2 linked regions of the Lepisosteus oculatus genome follow. The protein of the gene in region 2 interacts with the protein of the main gene of each other region in a biochemical or structural test. Links are inferred from orthologs where the notes say so. Each region holds a gene or a part of one and is shown on either strand. Other genes may lie near its edges.

Region 1 (9,340 bases), on a different chromosome or scaffold from region 2:
CATCCTTCTTGATCTCAGTGTGGCTTTTGACACTGTTGACCATGACATCTTACTATCTTGTCTTGAGACTGTGTTTGGAGTTTCTGACACTGCTCTCAAATGGTTCAAGTCTTACCTCACTGATCGCTGTCACTTTGTCTCTCTTAATGGGTTTAGGTCTGAAATTGGTCTTGTTAAGTCTGGTGTACCTTAGGGCTCAATATTCAGAATTTACATGTTTCCACATGGTCAACTTTTAAGATCACATGGCCTCAGCTATCATTTCTATGCTGATGATACTCAAATATACATCCATACCAAACCTGACACTGATGTGGCTGTCTATATTCTATCTAATTGCATCTCTGACATAAAAACTTGGATGACTCAAAATTTCCTTCATCTTAACTATGACAAGACTGAAGTCATGCCTTTTGGCACCCCCCATTCAACCTAGATGTGCGGCATATTGTCAAAACATATTTTTTTCACCTCAGAAATATCGCTAGACTATGCCCTATGGGATCACTAACTGTGTTGCTTAAAAGCTGATCAACACATTACTATTGTAATGCTCTACTCACTGGGGTATCTAAAACTGCAGTATGTCCAAAATTCAGCAGCCAGAATCCTGACCAGGTCTAGTGCAAGTGATCACATTACTTCTATCCTGGAGTCCTTGCACTGGCTTCCTGTCAAATTCAGTGTAGACTTTAAAATCCTCATGCTCACCTAAAAGGCTCTGTATGGCTTAGCACCTCAGTACCTGTCTGAACTATTATCACCCTAATCCCCACCTCACAACCTTCGATCTTCTAATCCTAATTCTTCTAATTCTGGTCTAACTGTCCCCCAAGACTGGTTCCATTCTTCACCACTCTGCATTTCTAAGTATCACGGTCTCCTCTGTATATTGTAATTGTAATTGTGTTTTATCTTGTGTATTCTTTTTATTTATTGTTGTTGTCATTCTGTAAAGCGCTTTGAGAAGCCACCTTTAAAGGCGCTATATAAAATAAAGTTTATTATTATTATTATTATTATTATTATTATTATTATTATTATTATGGCCATAGTTCAAGAACTTCGACATCAGCTGTATTTGGTAATTAACTCTACAAGCGTTGCCTTCTTTAATTAGTGATTATTAAATAACAAGGTTCTAATTCTCAATGAACCATTATTGATCAGAGCTGTGTTTTTGTATATTCACATCACATATAATCTGGGCACATTTCTCTAGTCAAACACATGGCATACAAGACAACGACAGTAACTGAGTACTGACTTGAAGTTCTTTTGATTTGGATTGCAATGATTTGATGATGGAAACAAGGCTGAAAGGCACACGTTTCACCTAGGGCAGAGGAAGAAAATATTGTGTAACACCTTTGTTTACATCCTTTAGTTGCCCAGAAGAGTTTCACCTGTGACAGAGGCATTTCACCACAGAGCACTTCTGTCGCACATGAACTCAGACCTCAGCTGAGAATTAGATGTGAATGAAATCTGAAAGATGGCACCTCCAGCTGCCCAGTGTCTTTCCTACCCCTTCTGGTGTATTGGTTTGGAAATTGTGGTCTAGAGAGAACAGCACTTCCTACTGGTCCACTAACACCTCTTATAGCAGCAGCATGTTTTTTAGAAGTCTGACATTGCAGCGCTGACCAGGCCCAGCCTTGCTTGCCATCTGGGATCTCATAAAGTCAGGCCAAAAGAGCAGCTGCACTTGTTTCTCTGCACTCCTTGTAAAACACTCTCGCCTCCTCCACTCTCCCAGCTTTTGTTCTCCTATGCTATTTAATCTTTGCTGTCTGCCCTGTCTTTCTCACACACTGAAGAAGGCTTCACAGCCGAAACGTTATGTTTTCTTTCTTCTCTTTTCAGTGTGGAATACACCAATTACTTGCTCTTTTGCAGCCTACGCATGCTGATGCATCTACCTACTCAAACTACCAAATGAGCAAGATGGGTTGATTGGATTCCTCCCTCAACTCTTCTTGTTGTTTTTCACCCAAATAGTGCAATACAATTGAAATTTTTGTTCGGCTTAAGAAAATAAAGTGTAAAATAGAATAAATCCACACTTATGGTAGGATAATCAAAATAATTAGGTGTGGTAAGTGTGCTAACATAATTTCAGAAAATTGAATTATAGCCAAGTTAGAATAGAAATTCAAGCTAAAATACTAATCTCCCATTTCTTCACGTCTGTGTGTGACTGAGGATTCCCGTAGCACAATTTTTTTTATAACCCCCACAACCTATCCCATCTACACCCCTGCAGCAACAATTCCTTGGCTCAATCCTCACAATACCGAGGGAGGTGGTCTGGGCAGCCACATTCTTTGGTAAGGAAGAAATTTTTCTTCCACCAGTCGAGCTACGCCAAATACACTCTGAGAATCTAGTCTCTCTCGTCTTTATTAGGATCTAGCCGAATAACTGAAATGGCATTGTTTCAGTTCAAATACGCCTATATAAACAGCATTTCAAATGTGTGCGTGTGTGCAGGACCAGCTTTGCCCATTTGAAACTTCGATTCAGCTTTTACCATGACTCGGAATCCCTTAAAATCATGGGAGTCTTCCATCGGCTAAAAGAAAGAAAGCTCTATCATGCAAAATCTCATCTTTCAGAACTACAGTAGGCTCGAAGTTTGTGCTCGGTGAGCGGGTTGTCACTTCATGAATGTTCAACCGAGCTCAAGTCATGAAGTGCAAATGATTTAGCCAAAGCATAAACTATCTACTGCATCAGTGTAGGATTTCATACTTCAAAAGGGAAAAGAAAGATTTATCAGTTCTCACATTTTTTTTACTTTTATTAAACATTCTCATTACATTTTATGTAAACAATTGACTTTTTTAAGAGCACTGTTACAAATGTGTAAAAAAACTGCCAATCAGGTTGCAGTCGATGTTTTGCGAGGAGTCTAGGTCAGCGGTTGTGACAGGCGCAGGTCAGAGCTGCCACGAGGATGACAAACTCGTTGAAGTCCACCTCTGAGTCTCCGTTGTGATCCAGGGCCTTCATCAGCTTGTCAGCCTCATCCTGGTTCTTGGCAGCCTGCAATCAGATAGGAGATCAATGTTTTTGTGTAATCATTTATTCACATTTTTTGTGTCTAAATTCTAAATTCAGATTGCATTTCCATTCCATCATGTAAATCATGTTGTTTATAATTCTCATCTGCTTAAGTACTGGAAAAGGAAATTATACAGTGTTGTCAGTTGGAAGACTCTTTTACTGATACTGATTAAGAACTGTAGTTTAAGGACGAATCTGTCAGGACTTCAGAAACACAATGGAACTGGAAAATATGTGACAAATTTTTACTAATACTAGGCCCTTTGTATTAAATTCTCAATATATTTTCTAGTCACCTGACAAAATCTAAAACAGAATGTATCCAGCTCTTGTATCAAATAATTTTGCTGATAGGCTCTTAAAAGGGGTATTTGCAATATAAAAATCCAGGATTAAGAACTATTATATTGAATAATAAAAAAACCCAAAGGAAAGTTTAAATGTCTGGTCTCTGAGTGAAGAGATCTCATGTATTTGAAAAAAAAAGCGTATTTAGAGATATTTAGAAGTTGTCTGTAAGATAAAACAGTTCATTGAAAATGTGCTGTATGTAACATCACCTTACAAAATTGATATCAACATAAACTGATTGATGACCCAACATAAACATTTATATTATTGTTGGAAGAATCAAAGAAAAGAGTGTCACAGGAAGCACTTGACTTACAAAATTAACCCTTTGCTCAGGGATTTCCAAGGAATACAAAAATAATACTAAGTGATCGAAGCTGTGGAGGCAACACTGTTCACCATGAAGACCAGGAGAAATTAACTCATCACTCACACACCTTCAGAAATGCTGGAAGCTCCTTCTCCATCATTGTCTTCAGCTCAGCCTTGGTCAGAGTCTGCTTCTTGCCATCAGTACTGGCATACTTGTCAAACACTTGCATTATCATCGCCATGGCATTCTCCAGCTGAGACATGGTGACTAGCTTCTTCTGCTACAAACTGTGGGACTCCTGCACCTCAGAAGTATGACTTAGTAGTGAACGTACAGAATGAAGCAAAGAGGACTTATATACACGCAGTATATGGGTTTCTACAGCCAATTGCTATTTGTTGTATCAGTCACTTTTTATCTGGGAGCAAATAGTATGTATTAGCCACCAGAGGGCTGTGGCCTGATAATATTAGAAGTGAAAATAATAGGAATAATAGGAAAATAATAACTGTGTCAACAGCTGTTTATCTCTCTCCTTTCAGAATTTTATTTCCTCCCACGTAAGATAAATATGTAACTAGGCAACCAAAGCTATAGTATAGCAATAGTATTTACAGTTTTTTTATACTTCTATTTGTACTTTTTAGGTGACCGCTTATTGGCAGGCCTACTTGACAATGGAGACACATATCGTATAAATCCATGTGCTTTTTCTTTTCTCAAGCTTGCAATGTGCAAAGAAAGGTCTAATGGTCACATGTGATTAGGTATATGGTACATTCAAGTCAAGCACACCTATGTGATCAATACCTGGTGTGTCCACCATAAGCTGGCAAGATATTTTAGCAAAATAGGCAAAATCATTTTGTAAAGAGTATAGGTATATTCACCATCCATTCTCAGGTCAAGGGATTATTTATCTTTGGCTTTCATTGCTCAAAGATACACTGAGACAACAGCCATATCACCCTGCAGCTCTCAACTGGCTATTCACTGAAGATAAGCGGGATTGAGCCTGGTCAGCACCTGGATAGGAGACCTCCTGGTAAGCTATGGTTGCTGCTGGATGTGGTATCAGTGGGACCAGTGGGGGGTGCCTGTCCCGTGGTCTGTGTGGGTCCTAATGCCCTGGTATAGTGCTGGGGACACTATACTGTAGTGGACGCTGTCTTTCAAATGAGACGTTAGACCGAGGTTCTGACCCTCAGTGGTCATTAAAGATCCCCGGGTTTTTTTTATAAGAGTAGGGAGTTATCCCATTGTCCGGGCCAAATTTCCCCCCTCTGCCTTTACTGTGGCATCCAAATTGTCCCCATTGATTGGCTTTGATTGTCCCCATTGATAGGTATGATTGGCTTGCACTTTTCCTGCGATGGACTGGCACCCCGTCCAGGGTGTACCCTGCCTTGTGCTCATTGCTTGCTGTGTAGGCACGACACCATATGTTATAAAGCAGTTTGGCAAATGACATGACATATGCACTGCTAACTGTATCAGAGCAGTGGAATACAGGTTTAAAATCAATGTGAGTGGTTGTCTATCAACAACACAAAATCACAGAATGACACTGAAAGTTAAGAAAAATTACACTGTATTGACAGGAAAGAATGGTCAAAAGTGGCTCCTCATGTCTTTGTACTACTAAACCCATGGTTTCCTAATTTGGGCCAGATGAGACACAAAAACATTGGGCTTTACTAATATCTAACGAACTGGAATGCATTGCAGACAAAGGATATTACCATTGCAAGAGTTCCTGTACTGTAGATACCAACAGCTCTTAGTTGTCTGAAGATCTGGGTTTGTAGTTTTACTGACTAGGTTGATTTTGCATACTTTTTTCAGCTGGAAATACCTCCAGAATCTGTTGATACAGTAGTAGATGGACAATGACAGTAATGTGCCATCATAATGCAGTTCCTATTTTTTTGTACTGAAACATCAAATCTGTCACTAACTGACCATGACCAAGAATTGTCAAGTAGTAGTTCTCAGTTTGCTTAGTAACTTAAGGAGCAGGACTATGATGGTTGGGAAAAGCTCTTTTAAGAACATAAAAAATATTACAGGAGGAGGCTATATGGAGTGGAGGCTACATGGCCCACCAAACTCTGTGGTAGTTAATTGATCCAAGTATCTCATCCGGCTGTTTCTTGGATATTGGCTTCAAAAACATAGCTGGGTAGCTTGTTCCATACTGTCACAATCCTCTATGTAAATAAATGTCTCCTGTTCTGTTTTAAATGCACTTCCACGTAGTTTTATTGCATTTGGACTATATAAAATACACTTGAACTACACTAAGAGGTCAAATCAAGTTATTGTTTCGGTTAGGGCTTCAGCCAGTTAAATCATGTTCTTGGTTAACATAAAAATAAACTCCTAGGAGTTCTTGCACAACTTCTGTGCATACCATTGTATGCATAAACACATGGTGGAGCGGTGGCGCTGTGGCTTAGGATCTGTACCTGTGGGTGAAAGGTTGCTGGTTCAAATCCTGTGGTTGGCAGAGGAATCCTCCTCTACTGGGCCCCTCAGCAAGGCCCTTAATCCCAACTGCTCCAAGGGTGCTGTGTAAATGGCTGACCCTGTGCTCTGACCCCAACCTTCTCTCTCCCTGTTTGTGTGTCTCATGGAGGGCAAGCTGGGATATGCAATAAGACAAATTCCTAAAGCAAGAAATTGTATATGGCAAATAAATATAGATCTTATTTAATAAATGTAGTGCTTCTGTGGTTTCTGAGGTGTCAGAATAGGTCACTCTTACACGTCCCTATATTTGTAAATTTGTGTGAAACAGACATCAGAAGCACTGTCTAGCAAATGGCACTAATACAGTTTTTGAGCTTTATATGGCCACAGGCCTCTCCATCAGATGGATGGAGAAGGACTAATCTCTTCATTAGTCTATCAGGCTGATATGATACCTTATCTGATATTTCAGATTGTTTTTCTGTGAATGGTAACTGAAATCTCTCGTAGTCCTTTCAAAAAGTAACTGAGAACGTTTGTTATTTTCAATGACTCAGCAACTCAATCTAAGGATTCACCTACTTATTCACATGAGGATATTCACTATTGGATCATTTTATTAATAGTCCAGATATAATTTTTTTTGGTGTGTTTTATGTTTAATCAAGTTATCTTAATATTTTCTTAAGGCTTTGACTAAAATCTAGTTATGTTTTCAACCTAAAAAGTCGAAGAATATGGGTCCCGCCTAGAGAGTTAACAGACTTTTTCTTTGTACTGTAGCTTGTCTCATACTCTTACAATGTTTTGTGTAAACTAGGGCTCCCATTTTTTTCACAGTCCGAAAACATACTGATAGGTTGATTGGCTTCTGGAAAAAATGGCTCTGGTATGAGTGTGTCTGTGTTTGTGTCAGTGTGTACCCTGCAGGGTGGATCTCTATTTCAATTTAGAAAATTGATGACGTTTTTCACCCTAAAACTTTTTAAACTCTAAAACCCACTCTTCATCTCCATTGCTTTCACAGTGGTGGAATTCACGATAGTGGTTTCTCAAAAACTTCCCTCTTTAACCCTTTAGTTCCCATTGAGTCAATGGCTACTATAATGTGAGTTTTCCATAACTGGATTCTTCGGGAATGCAGAACTGATAACAATATATAAGGCACTAACCTGTTTTATTTTTATGTTGCGTTGCCTCTAAATGCAGGATAAGAATGATTATTTATGTTTGTGTTTAGATAGTTTAATGGTTGGTTGCATCATTTTGTCTATGACTGTACAGTAAGTATATATAAAATATGTTAAAAAATAGTATTTCAAAGATATGATGTCATATCTGGATTTTAATTTGAACAGATTTCTTTACATAAAAGACAAAACAATAAGAACTGAAAGAAAGTCAAGAGAATTATCTTTTTTAAAGACAAAGATAAATTTCCTGTCTTGATGACACTTTCTTGCTATCAAACTTTTCACCTATTTCCTGTTGTTTCTCATAAACTTCAGTTTGTTCAACAGTTTCATAATCACATTTAAGTTAAGAATAACTGTAAACCAAAACTGTTAACAATATTTTATTTCAGAAAATAAGTGGGTTTTGACCAATAAAACAAACCTAATTCTCCAGGAGTTTTCTGTGTAACATTTTATTTTTAAAAGCAAAATATTGTTACCGTATGAGAAAAGTTTGAAAGTCACAATGCTCGCTGTTAAAAAAATGAATATGGTTGTTTGATCAAATTAGTTCATATACAATACTTTGTAGAACTTTAAAAAGTATATTAACACTCAAAATAAAATAATTATATAAATTTGTATATAAATACAAAATTACAGTTTCTCCAAATTCTGGCAGATGTTTAGACTAAAAGAGACTAAAAGAGCCTGAAGTTGTCTGAGAGTCACACCTTGTGATTCATTGTTTCATTGAACTATGAACTAAGTGCAAAGTAGAGGCATTTGCTATTATGCTCTTGTTTGATTAAACATTAATGTGCATTTGTACTGATATCTTGAGCTCTGCCAGCCCTAAGTACACTGCGTAAGAGTCCATGTGGGATCATTAGCTGTAGGTGTGTTCAGTTAGTTCATGGTATACTTTCGACCTTTGCCCACATTTGAGTGATTCATCCAGCATCACATCCACATAAAGAGACTCAGAAGGGTGTTTTTGTGGGCTCAAACCTCGGTTGGGACTCTGCTGTTGTATTCCGAAGCAATCTCCTTCACTCAGATTGTCTATTTTTTTCTTAAGACTACCGCTCACTCCAAAAGAGCATAGAAGAAGATGAATGTTTGAAATTACAAAGCACACAATTAATGTGACTGACACTTTACCCAAGGAAAGCAGAATATTAATTTTTGTGAAACAATTCTTGTTAGATTCAGATCGGCTGTAAGACATGGTGTTCTGTAAGTAGTAAGTAGTAAGTGTAAGTTGTTGTCCACATTTTGTCCATATAATGAAATTAAATCTTTCTTTCTTGCTCTAGAAGCATTCTAAATTGACTGTCAAAAAGTAATAAAGCAACAAAAGTGAAAGCCACATCCTCAACAGAAAGTCATTATAATGATTGCTTTTAAAATGTCACACCATATTTCCATTTCCTGTTGCTGACCTATAAGAGACTTTCTAAGTTTCCACAGCTCACCCAATTCTTTGGGGTGGATTTTTACCCTAGAAGCGAGAAACAGATTATTACAGCAATGAATGAGAATAAAACACAACATTGTGAGCAAAAAGAGAAAACGTGAAAAGGCTTGAAGTCTCATATGGTTGTCATATGCTAATATACATGACTATTAATATGCACTATAAGGTGTGAACAAAAACACTTGCACAAAAGAAGAGAAAGTTGTTTTCCGAGGGCAAACTCCTGTGTTCATTTATTTATTCAGCACATTAAGTCAGTGATTTTCCTTTCCGTAACAGAAGCTTTTCCCAGCATAATGTTATTGAACCACTCACCATTCTTCCTATTTCTTTGAACTGTCACTTTACTGTTATCAGTAGCATGTGATACCTGCATGGTCATTCCTTCCGAAGGACTTCAAGATGAACGGCTTTATTTGGTGGTTCTCCAATTAAAGTACTTCTTGTGAAACGAACATTCCAACAGTTTTCAGACTGGAT
Region 2 (10,567 bases):
CAATATTACTGAATGTTTCACTCCGGGTGGTGGGGTGAGTCAGGGCTGAAGTCTGAGCCCTACACTGTTCAATATCTCCACCAGTGAGCTAGCAGGAATGCTGGAACAGTCTGCAGCTCCTGGACTCACACTACATGACACAGATCAAGTTCCTGCTCTACCGATGACCTGGTCCTGCTGTTGCCCACAGAACAGAGCCTGGCACTGCTGGAGCAGTACTGTCAGACCCGGGCACTGCCAGCCCATCTGGACAAGACCAGTCCCATGGACAAGAAAGTGAGGTCTCAGGGAAACAACACACAACTCCAACTGACAATCGATTCATCTGGGAGTTTCGACCTGGCAGTGAAGGCACCCAGGGCTTTCTACGCCAATAGAGGGAGGCTCTACAATATCAACCCCCCCATAAAAATCTGGCTGCAAATATTTGAAAGTGTAATCCAACCCATTGCCCTATACAGCAGTGAAGAGTCTGGTCCACTCAGAGACCAGGATTACACTGTGACAACTCATACAAGCCTTGTGCACAGAGTTCTGAAAACAACATCCTCCATGTACAGTGTGTGATCTCCTGTCCCAGCCTGAGGAACAGACAGTGAGCCTGTCTCTCAATAATAATAATACAGTGTGTGATCTCCTGTCCCAGCCTTAGGAACAGACAGTGAGCCTGTCTCTCAATAAAAATAATACAGTGTGTGATCTCCTGTCCCAGCCTGAGGAACAGTGAGTCTGTCTCTCAATAATAATAATATAGTGTGTAATGTTCTATATGTTGTATGTAAGTGTCCCGAGATGTGTTTGTATTGTCAACATCTGTAGATGTTGTGTTAATTGTATCTGCTTTGGCAACACTGAAATTCATCAGTCATGCCAATAAACCTGCTTGAATTTAAAAAATCTGAAAGAAACAGGCTCAGGATGAACTTAAAGAATTTTATAGGCTCAGGAAAGAGAGACCAATAAACCCAGAGGCAAGAAGAGAGAGATCTAATCTGTACAAAGACCACACCAGGTCACACTGTTGCTAAATACAAAGATTCAGCCTTTTTCCCTCCCCCCGCCGTCTGTCAGGAGTGCTGAACAACAGGAAAGGGTGTGTGCGTGTCTTTGCGCATGTCTGTGCATGTGCGTGTGGAGGGATAAATTGCTGCTCTGCCTATTAACTACTCTGATTCCTGCAGATAAGGACAGGGCAGTTGCTCTACCAGAATAAGGATAGAGACAGAAACAAATCCTGGGCTGAATAGGCAGATACCCACTGCTGACCAACATACAGAAGACTGCAAGAAAATACTGGTCACCCCTGAGAACCAGTGAGCAGAGCTCCCAGCATCACAAGACCCTGCTGAGCCAGAGCTGAGCCCAGAGAAGAGCCCTCAGCCAGCTGGTCCTGAAGCTCACTGACAGCAACCAGCTACAGCAACACCCACCACACAGCACAACACACACAGCACTGCCTCCCCCACTGGGACACACACACACAAACACACACACACTGACCAGCACTGCCTCTCCCACTGGGACACACGCACACAAACACACACACACTGACCAGCACTGCCTCTCCCACTGGGACACACGCACACAAACAACACACACTGACCAGCACTGCCTCCCCCACTGGGAGAGAGACACAAACTGGAGGACTGCAGGACCACACCCTGTGCCCAGTATGCAATCTCCTGCCACAGCCTAAGGAGCAGAGAGCCAGTCTCGGATGTTTTTTTCAGATATGGATGGAAATAACTAACAGGATTTATGTTGTTGATTAGCAGTACTTACTCACTGGTCACTGCAACAGAGCTCACCGAGTCTGGAGATGAGAGCTCTTCTCCCTTTCCAGTTTCCCATGACCCCTGTGACCCCACAGCTGAAGAAGTCAGTGCTTCCCACGCCCACCCTGAACACAGCACTCCCCAAAGTACACACACCCCTACCCTAAACTCAGTGCTCCCCAAAGTACACACCTCTACCCTGAACACAGTGCTCATCACACCTCCACCCTGAGAACAGTACCCACACCGCAGGGCAGCAGAGAGGCCCTGATCCAATCCAGGCCCTTCTGCACCGACCCGGGCTGCCTTCTGTTTCCCCTGTCCTCTGGGACACATTCCTACCATTCCACTCGCTAATGGATAAGGAGAGAATTCCAGAAATGCAGCTGCTGTCAGCACAGGCAGAGACCAGCATCAGGCCAGACCGTGAGCCCTGCAGCTGAAAGTCACAGCAGACCTGGCTCATTCTCTCTGCTGTGTGACACACTCCCTTGCTCACAGGCGGATACACCCTCAGAGCTCTCTTCTTCACACAGGCACAGGCTGCTGCTGATCGAGCACCGGTTCTGGGATCACAGGGCACAGCCCAGGCTGACAACACACCCCACTGGGCCCACTGCTGAGCAAGCAGCTGCTCAACACCATTAAAACACCGGCCCTCACACTATGTGGCTGGAGCCTCATTTGCATTCATTCAGAGGACACTGAGACAGCAGCAGCAGCACTGGAGGAAGGATACAGCCTGTGAGCGCCCCCCATTGGACACTCCAGGAAGAGCTTCTGCTGACCAGTCAGCCAGTGAACTAAGAGGTACATAATTGCTGCCACTGGGCTGTCCTGCAGCAGAACCGCTGACACTGCCAGTACCCTGCTCAGCAGACAAATCATCAGGACTGCTGGCCACCAGCGTCTCCGCCCCTCGATAGCCCACAGCCACACAGGGAGATAAGGGATACAGATAAGGATACAGGGAAAACTTCCCAACAGGAAGTGAGCAGTCAGCGGGTCCCCAGGCAACGAGAAGAGCAGCTCATTCCTGACGGAGTGCACAGAGCAGGAATGTCTGCCGAGCTCGAGGACAAGTCAGCACAGGGAGCCAGCAGCTCCTGCAATCTCGTTATCGGCCACACCCACACAGTCCAGGGCAGAACTGCACCTGCGCTCTTGTCCTCTGTCCCGTTCCGGACACTGACCGGGTCTCCAGGACAGAGAGACGGCGGCAGGCAGGCCAGTGTACGAGGAGAGACACGAGAGCTCTGTGCTAAGGGCACCCCCCCTGCCTCAGACTGCCCAGCGCCAGGGTCAGAGCCACCACGAATACCTCCCCTCCAGCACACACAGGCCACAACCAAGACTGCGACACAGCTGCCCAATTCCACACACAGCAGAGCACGCACACACACCCGGGGCTTGGCCCCGAGCGTCGCACAGCAGGACCGCTACTGGGGTACGGAAGAGCCACACTCCTCCGCCCGCTGCCGGCTCTTCTCCTCCCTTGGATCGGTAGACCCAGGTCACCTGGCTGTCTGGTGGCACCGCCAGCGCTGCTCAGCCACAGTTTCACAGGACGTGACTGCAGTGTCCCTGCAGCCAGATCCAGATCCACCCCGGGTTTTACCACCCGCCGCAGGCCCTCGAACAGGCACCTGAAGGAACCGCGGTTCAGGAACAGAAACGGCTGCTTTTCTGCTCCACCAGAACGGACTCAGGAGCTCTCAGCTGCTGAGAAAAGCCGAGATGGACTCCAGGTGTCTGGGAGCCCATCTGCCCAGCACAGATGAGACCGTGCTCACCTACTGTAACCCCCTCCTTGACCCGCAGGGGGCGCCACCAGGGGCACTGTGCACATGCGCCTCAGTCACAGAGACACTGGTGAGAAAACCTGCAACCCCTCTCCTGCCACTGCTCCGCAGAACAGATTCACCCCCACAGTGACCCTCACCCGAGCCTGACAACACCCTCGCTATAAACACCCCTCCTCACCCCAAACCCCTCACTGTCCCTCTCACCCTCACTGCCCCCCTCAATGTCTCCCCAAACCCCCTCAACCCAAACCCCTCTCTCCCCCCTGGGCCGTCTGCAAGCCTGGTGAGACAGAACACTTTTGGCTGCTTGGTGCAGCATCGCACCTCAACTTCCTGTTGTCGGACGCGTGTCCACATCCGCCCAGGTGCCTGAGAGCTCCAGCACAGAGACAGGAAGTGACATCACACTCAGAGCACAGGGAGGAAGTGACATCGTTGCCAGAGGCCAGGTACACTAACAGACTCCCACAGCCCGAGACCACGCAGAGACGTCAGGCAGGGCAGTTCTGGGGAGGCCCAGTCCAAACACTACAGTGCCAAGAACCGCAGGATGTCTCCAGCACCCAGCACAGGGTGAAACCAGGACCCATAAATATTCTGTGACAAAACGGTTGTATCTGAACCCCTGACCCCGACCTCAGACTCCAGACACCGCCGGTCCCGGTCGACCCGTCCCCCTAATTGTTCCACGCGATTCCCCCCCACGCCCGTGGAAAGATTAGGCTCAGGCGAGACCGGCCGGAAATGAGCCTCCCGGGCTCGCGATAAGAAATTTCCTTCGGAGGCAGGACCCCGGACCCGAATCAGACCGGGCTGGGAACCGCCACGGCGTGCCGTGGACCGGCCGCGAGCTCGCCCACCAGCCCTCCCAGTCGCGGCTCGCGCCGTGGCCAGCGCCACTTCCTCGGTGGATGAGATCATCCCGGAGAGGTGAGGGTGCGGCTGCTGCTCCCAGGTCTCCACACCCCACGGCACGAGTGTCACCCGCTCAGCCCGGGCGCCAGGAAAACCCGGACTGGAGCCGCACTGCGGCGGCGTGTCGCTGTTTCACCTGAGCTGGCGGTGAGGGTGCAGGTCCTAAAACACGCGCGTTTCTGCAGGGCGTGAGCAGAAAGAGACCAGACAAGCCCGCTCCCGGCCCGAGTGACCCGGTCCTGACCCTGACAGCTCGGGGGCCCGTGTCTCTCCGTCCCTCCCGCCCCGGAGACCGTCGGAGCAGCCGGCAGCCCGGGAAACAGACCCACCGCGACCCCGGAAACACCCCCAAGCCCAGCAGCCGCAGGACTCCACTAACCCGGCGTGCGCGACCCGTACGAGTTGGACCCCGGCTCCCTCCCGGCGCACTTCCTGTAGGAGCCCGAGCACGGCAGCGCCCCACGCCCGCTCAGCCGCCGGTGACGAAGCGCAAGAGCACGAAGTTCCTGGTCCGGCTGAGGCTGACAGAGGGCACTTTACCTGGGCCAACGACGAACAGAGAATCGTCTGAAACCCTTCTGAACTCGGTCGGCTCCCCGTCCCGCTGTCCCAGCTCGGCGGCGAGAAAGCAGTTGTCGTGCAGCTCGGTGGAAACGCGCAGTAGCAGCGAGCGCTTGTCTCCTCTCGGCCTGAGCGGCTGCTTCCGCGCAGACTGGCTGGGACCGGGCAGGGCGCGGCTGCGGGGCGGGGCCAGGCTCCCAGCCACGCCCCCCGCCCAATCGGAGCAGGCCAATCTGGGCCGGACCGGCCAGTGGCGGAGCGGCATGGGGGCGTGGCTTGAGGGTGCTGCTCCCGGGGCTCGGAGGCAGCGCTAAGTGTTTAATTAGAGAGGTATGTGCGGGATAAGTTTATTACCATATAAGTATGACTGCCAGCGGCATCAAACATCTCCCTGCAGACACCTTTCCTGCCTGCTTCCACAGTAATTAGTCACCCTCGAGTCCCGTGAGCGCTAAAATGTTAGAGAAGCTGGCCGCCTCCGTATCTGCGTTGATCGCATTTCTAATCATGTCCCATTTAACAACACTCCGACAGAGGAAGGTCCTCCTCGTGGTCACGACCGGACACACCTGACAGTACATCTGTTGGCAGCAACATTGTCAGTAGCCTTCTGAAGATCTGAATGCCCAGTGGCGCTCGCTCTGTTTCCTGCTGATCAAGGTACACGGTAGTTAAAGAGATCTGTCTTTTTAAAATCCACATTGACTAGGATGTTCTTTTTAATACTGATGATCCCCTGGTTGTCTTCTGATTATTGTTTCCATTACTTTATATGCCACAGAAGGCAGACATACTGGTCTGTAATTATTTGGCTGGGTTGTCTGTTGCAGTGGGTATCCCCCCCTCTGCAGAGCTCCAGAGACTGCTGGGAGAGTTGAGCTGTGAATCTTCTCCTGCGCCGGGATAGATGGCTGTTTCAGCAGGTGCCTCCCCTGCGCTGGTACCTGTGTCCTTCTGCTGTCTGAGGCCGGTGAGTCAGGCCTGGTGCCCCGCGAGAGCCAGCCCTTTGCTCTGGCTCTGACCTCAGCAGGCTCTGGAACAGGCTGAGGCCAGCCCAGGGGCCAGTGCCACAGTACATGCCAGTATGGGCGATTGGGGACACACAGACTGGCACCCCTCTTACCCAAGCTGACTCTGGACACTTGGAGCAAACCTGCACATGGAGAAGAACATGCAAACTCCACACAGATAGCTGGCCAGCTCAAAATGTATCCAAATTCATGGTGTTCAGCGTTGATTGGTGTTTCTAAATTAACAGCTGCTCAACACAAACTGAGCATGTCTGTGAGAGTGAGAGAGTGAGCATGTGTCTGAGACAGTGTGTGACTGAGACAGAGAGTGTATCTGAGAGAGTGAGAGAGTGTATTGGCTACACCTAAAAAACAGCGACCAAAATTCCTACCACCACAAAGCCCTGCTGAGCCAAGAGCTGAGCCCAAAACAGAGCCCCCTGAGCCAGCTGGTCCTGAGCCACACCGACACCAGCCAGTCTCAGGACGGCACTGCTAGAGCACCACAACTCAGACCCAAGCACATCACAGCACAGATCAAACAGCAACATCTCACACACTGGGACACACACACACAAACAACAAACTGGAATGCTACAGAACCCTAAACAGACAATACACACTAGCTGAATATTTGACCAAGATAAGAAACAACAAAAAGAAACAGACCCTGATGAAGTACAGGCTCAGTGACCACAACCTGGCCATAGAAACTGGGCGACACAGGCAGACCTGTCTGCCCAGAGAGGACAGGCTGTGCTCCCACTGCCAGCGGGGAGAAATAGAGACAGAGGTGCACTTCCTACTGCACTGTGACAGATACTCTGGAATTAGAGAAACATTCTTCCCTAAACTCAGAAATCTAGTCCCAGAGTTTCCACACCTGCCAGAATCACAATGGGTCCCAATCCTACTGGAAGAGGGAGGAGGGAACTCAATTGAACTGGCAGCCCAGTATGTGATATCCTGTCACAGCCTGAGGAACAGTGAGCCTGTCTCCCAATAATGCTCCATTTGTTAACAGTATATGTAAATATTTGATGATATGTCTTTGTTGTAAATCTGGAATATGTCTGAGGAACAGACAGTGAGCCTGTCTCTCAATAATAATACAGTGTGTGATCTCCTGTCCCAGCCTGAGGAATAGACAGTGAGCCTGTCTCTCAATAATAATAATACAGTGTGTGATCTCCTGTCCCAGCCTGAGGAACAGACAGTGAGCCTGTCTCTCAATAATAATAATACAGTGTGTGATCTCCTGTCCCAGCCTGAGGAACAGACAGTGAGACTCTAATAGTTCATGTTGGAAATTCCTGGGGTGCTGTCGGCATGGAGTTTGTATGTTCTCCCTGTGTTTGCGAGTTTCCTCTGGGTGCTCCGGTTTCCTCCTCTCTCACAATCTAAAGACATACTGGAGGGTTGATTGTCTTCTGGGAAATGTGCCCTGGGGTGTCTGTGTGCCCCGTGATGGACTGGTGTCCTACCTTGCGCCCACAGCGTGCCTCACTCGGCCCCCCGCAAACCTGCGCTGGATATAACGATTAGAAAATGGATGGATGGAAAAGTCTAATAATGTGTTTTTGTTGTAAAAATTGTTACTAACTGTTATTAACTAATTGCTATTAACTGTGATTAACCTTTAATGTCAATAAAACTATTTGGATTTGAGAGACAGATGAGGCAATGTTGTTAGAAAAGGTATCATATTCTGTGCTCATCTCTCTCTGTCCCTGTCTTCCTCTCTCTGCTTCTGTCTTTCTCTCTTTCCCTGTCTCTCTCTCTGTCTTTCTCTGTCCGTCCTTGTCTCTGCCCTGTCTCTCTCTCTGCTTCTGTCTCCCTCTGCCCATTTCTCTCTGCCCCTTGTCTCCTTCCCTGCCCATCTCTCTCTCCCTGCCCCATCTCTCTCCCTGCCCCATCTCTCTCTCTGCCCCGTCTCTCTCTCTGCCCCTTGTCTCTCTCCCTGCCCGTCTCTCTCTCTGCCTTGTCTCTCTCTCTGCCACTTTTCTCTCTCCCTGCCCGTCTCTCTTTCTGCTCCTGTCAATTTCAATTCAATTTTTTTTCAATTCAAGGTGCTTTATTAGTGTGACCGATGGGTACAATCAGTGTTGCTAAAGCAAATAAAAATTCACATGAAACAAAACAGAAAATAAAAGTAAAATAAAGTCTACAGACATTACAAACATTTACAACAAACACATATCATAAAATATTTACATCTACTGTAGACAGATGGAGCATTATTGGGAGACAGACTCACTGTTCCTCAGGCTGTGACAGGAGATCACATACTGGGCTGCCAGATCAACTGAGTTCCCTCCTCCCTCTCCCAGTAGGATTGGGACCCATTGTGATTCTGGCAGGTGTGGGAACTCTGGGATGAGATTTCTGAATTTCGGGAAGAATGTGTCTCTAATCCCAGAGTATCTGTCACAGTGCAGTAGGAAGTGCACCTCTGTCTCTATTTCTCCCCGCTGGCAGTGGGAGCACAGCCTGTCCTCTCTGGGCAGACAGGTCTGTCTGTGTCCAGTGTCTCTGGCCAGGCTGTGGTCACTGAGCCTGTCCTCTCTGGGCAGCCAGGTCTGCCTGTGTCGCCCAGTTTCTATGGCCAGGCTGTGGTCACTGAGCCTGTACTTCGTCAGGGTCTGTTTCTTTTTGTTGTTTCTTATGTTGGTCATATATTCAGCTAGTGTGTATTGTCTGTTTAGGGTTCTGTAGCATTCCAGTTTATGCTGTGTGTGTGTCCCAGTGTGTGAGATATTGCTGTTTGATCTGTGCTGTGATGTGCTTGGGTCTGGGTTGTGGTGGCTTTGTGGTGGTAGGAATTTTGGTCGCTGTTTTTTAGGTGTAGCCAATACTTTAATACTGTTTTCTGTATGTTTATCAATAGTGGGTACTGGCCTAATTCGGCCCATCACCCGTTGCACTTGTCTCTCTCTGCCCCTGTCTCTCTCCCTGCCCGTCTCTCTCTCTTCCCCTGTCTCTCTCCCTGATCCTGTCTCTCTCTCTGCCCCTGTCTCTCTCTCTACCCGTCTCTCTCTCTGCCACTTTTCTCTCTCCCTGCTCGTCTCTCTCCCTGCTCCTGTCTTTCTCTCTGCTCCTGTCTCTCTCTGCCCCTGTCTCTCTCTCTGCTCCTGTCTTTCTTAGCCCTGTCTTCCTCTCTCACTTCCTTGCTCTCTCGCTGGTGCCAGGCTGAGGGAATGGAAGCACAGAAGCCCACTAGAGTGAACAGGACCTGTGCAAAAGCTCATTCAGCAGGAGAATATTTGTGATATGTGATATTTCTTATATGAAAGACTGAAACACTGAGGAAACTTCCTCTCATCAGCCACTCGATGGGACGGACCAACCTGCTGAGCCTGATGCTCCTACAGGCTGCGATTGCCCTCTGTGACAGGACTGGGACAGCAAGTCATGATGATACTCTCGGGTCTGAGAGAGGGGCACCTTGCAGGTCTGAGTGCTCACTGGTGTGATGAAGATGACGGATGGGGATCCTGTTGTGAGGGATTGTCCTGTACAGACAGGGTACAGGAGCTCTGTCTCTTCAGCCCACAACAGCCCATACAGAAACTGGAGATGTTATTTAAGCTGGATAACAAAAAACACTTCTTAACACAAAGAGTTGTGGGTGTCTGAGACAGGCTTACTAGCTATGTGGTTGAGACCCAAACTCTGGACACTTATATACATGACTAAAGTACTAAAGAAGAAAGATGGCTGATTGGGCTCCTGTCGCTTGCTGCCTTATTTACACATCAGTTTTCAATATGATTACAGATGCAGAGCTTATAAAGTCAGAGTATGTGCAGGGATAAATCTCCCCATGATCAAGCAGACTGAGAATTATCCCCGAGGAGACAGATACCAGTCCAGTGCAGATGCAGAGCTCTGCGGTCACCCTCTCCCCTCTCCCCGGCTGCAGGACAGGAAGAGGGAGGGGGGTGTTGACTCACAATGCTCAGGAATGCAGGGGAAAGGGGGGGGCACACCCCTCCCCCAGCCTGTACCTTGTCAGGGCAAAGGTTTCATGTCTGAACTGTTTCATGTCTGAGCGGAGTCCCTGTGCGGCGCTCGGGCCCTGCCAGAGCACTCCTCCTGCACACTATTGTACCTCCCAGTCCTGCGCGGTCTGGGCCCCGAGTCCCTTCCTGCCTGACGCGAGGCTGACAGGTACACGACTCACAGCCCCGCGCCACACTCCCCAGCAGAGCAGCAGCGCGGCAGCTCGCTGGCAGGACTCTCTTTTCTTCCTTATATGGTAACAGAGCGGCGCCCTGCTCGAGAGGGGGAGGGGCGGGCCGCTCTTTTGTCTCAGCGGAAGGGGTGTAAAGTTACTCTGGCAGCTTCACATTCCTCAGCCATCTGCCCTCCTCTGGAGCAGAACAGCGCACACCTGGGCAGAGAGAGAGGATTCAGCTCGAAGTGCAGGGAAGGTGTGTCTCTGCTCTTACAGCCGCCTGCGTTGGCAGAATATTGTGTTAGAAGCAGTGAAAGAGAATGA

What was found. The genes of interacting proteins can lie anywhere in the genome.
Region 1: the proteins of myh9a (region 2) and protein S100-P interact in a biophysical measurement, tested with the Homo sapiens proteins (2 studies listed by IntAct). The link is inferred for Lepisosteus oculatus from reciprocal best matches to the Homo sapiens genes MYH9 and S100P.

The regions. Positions count from the first base shown.
Region 1 is NC_090696.1:42,546,814-42,556,153, forward strand, and holds protein S100-P, read right to left. Parts: upstream 4,037-9,340; 5' UTR 3,996-4,036; coding exon 3,858-3,995; intron 3,049-3,857; coding exon 2,920-3,048; 3' UTR 2,796-2,919; downstream 1-2,795.
Region 2 is NC_090707.1:39,741,523-39,752,089, forward strand, and holds the start of myh9a (myosin-9), read right to left. Parts: upstream 5,126-10,567; 5' UTR 5,036-5,125; intron 1-5,035. UniProt on the Homo sapiens protein: Cellular myosin that appears to play a role in cytokinesis, cell shape, and specialized functions such as secretion and capping. Required for cortical actin clearance prior to oocyte exocytosis. Promotes cell motility in conjunction with S100A4.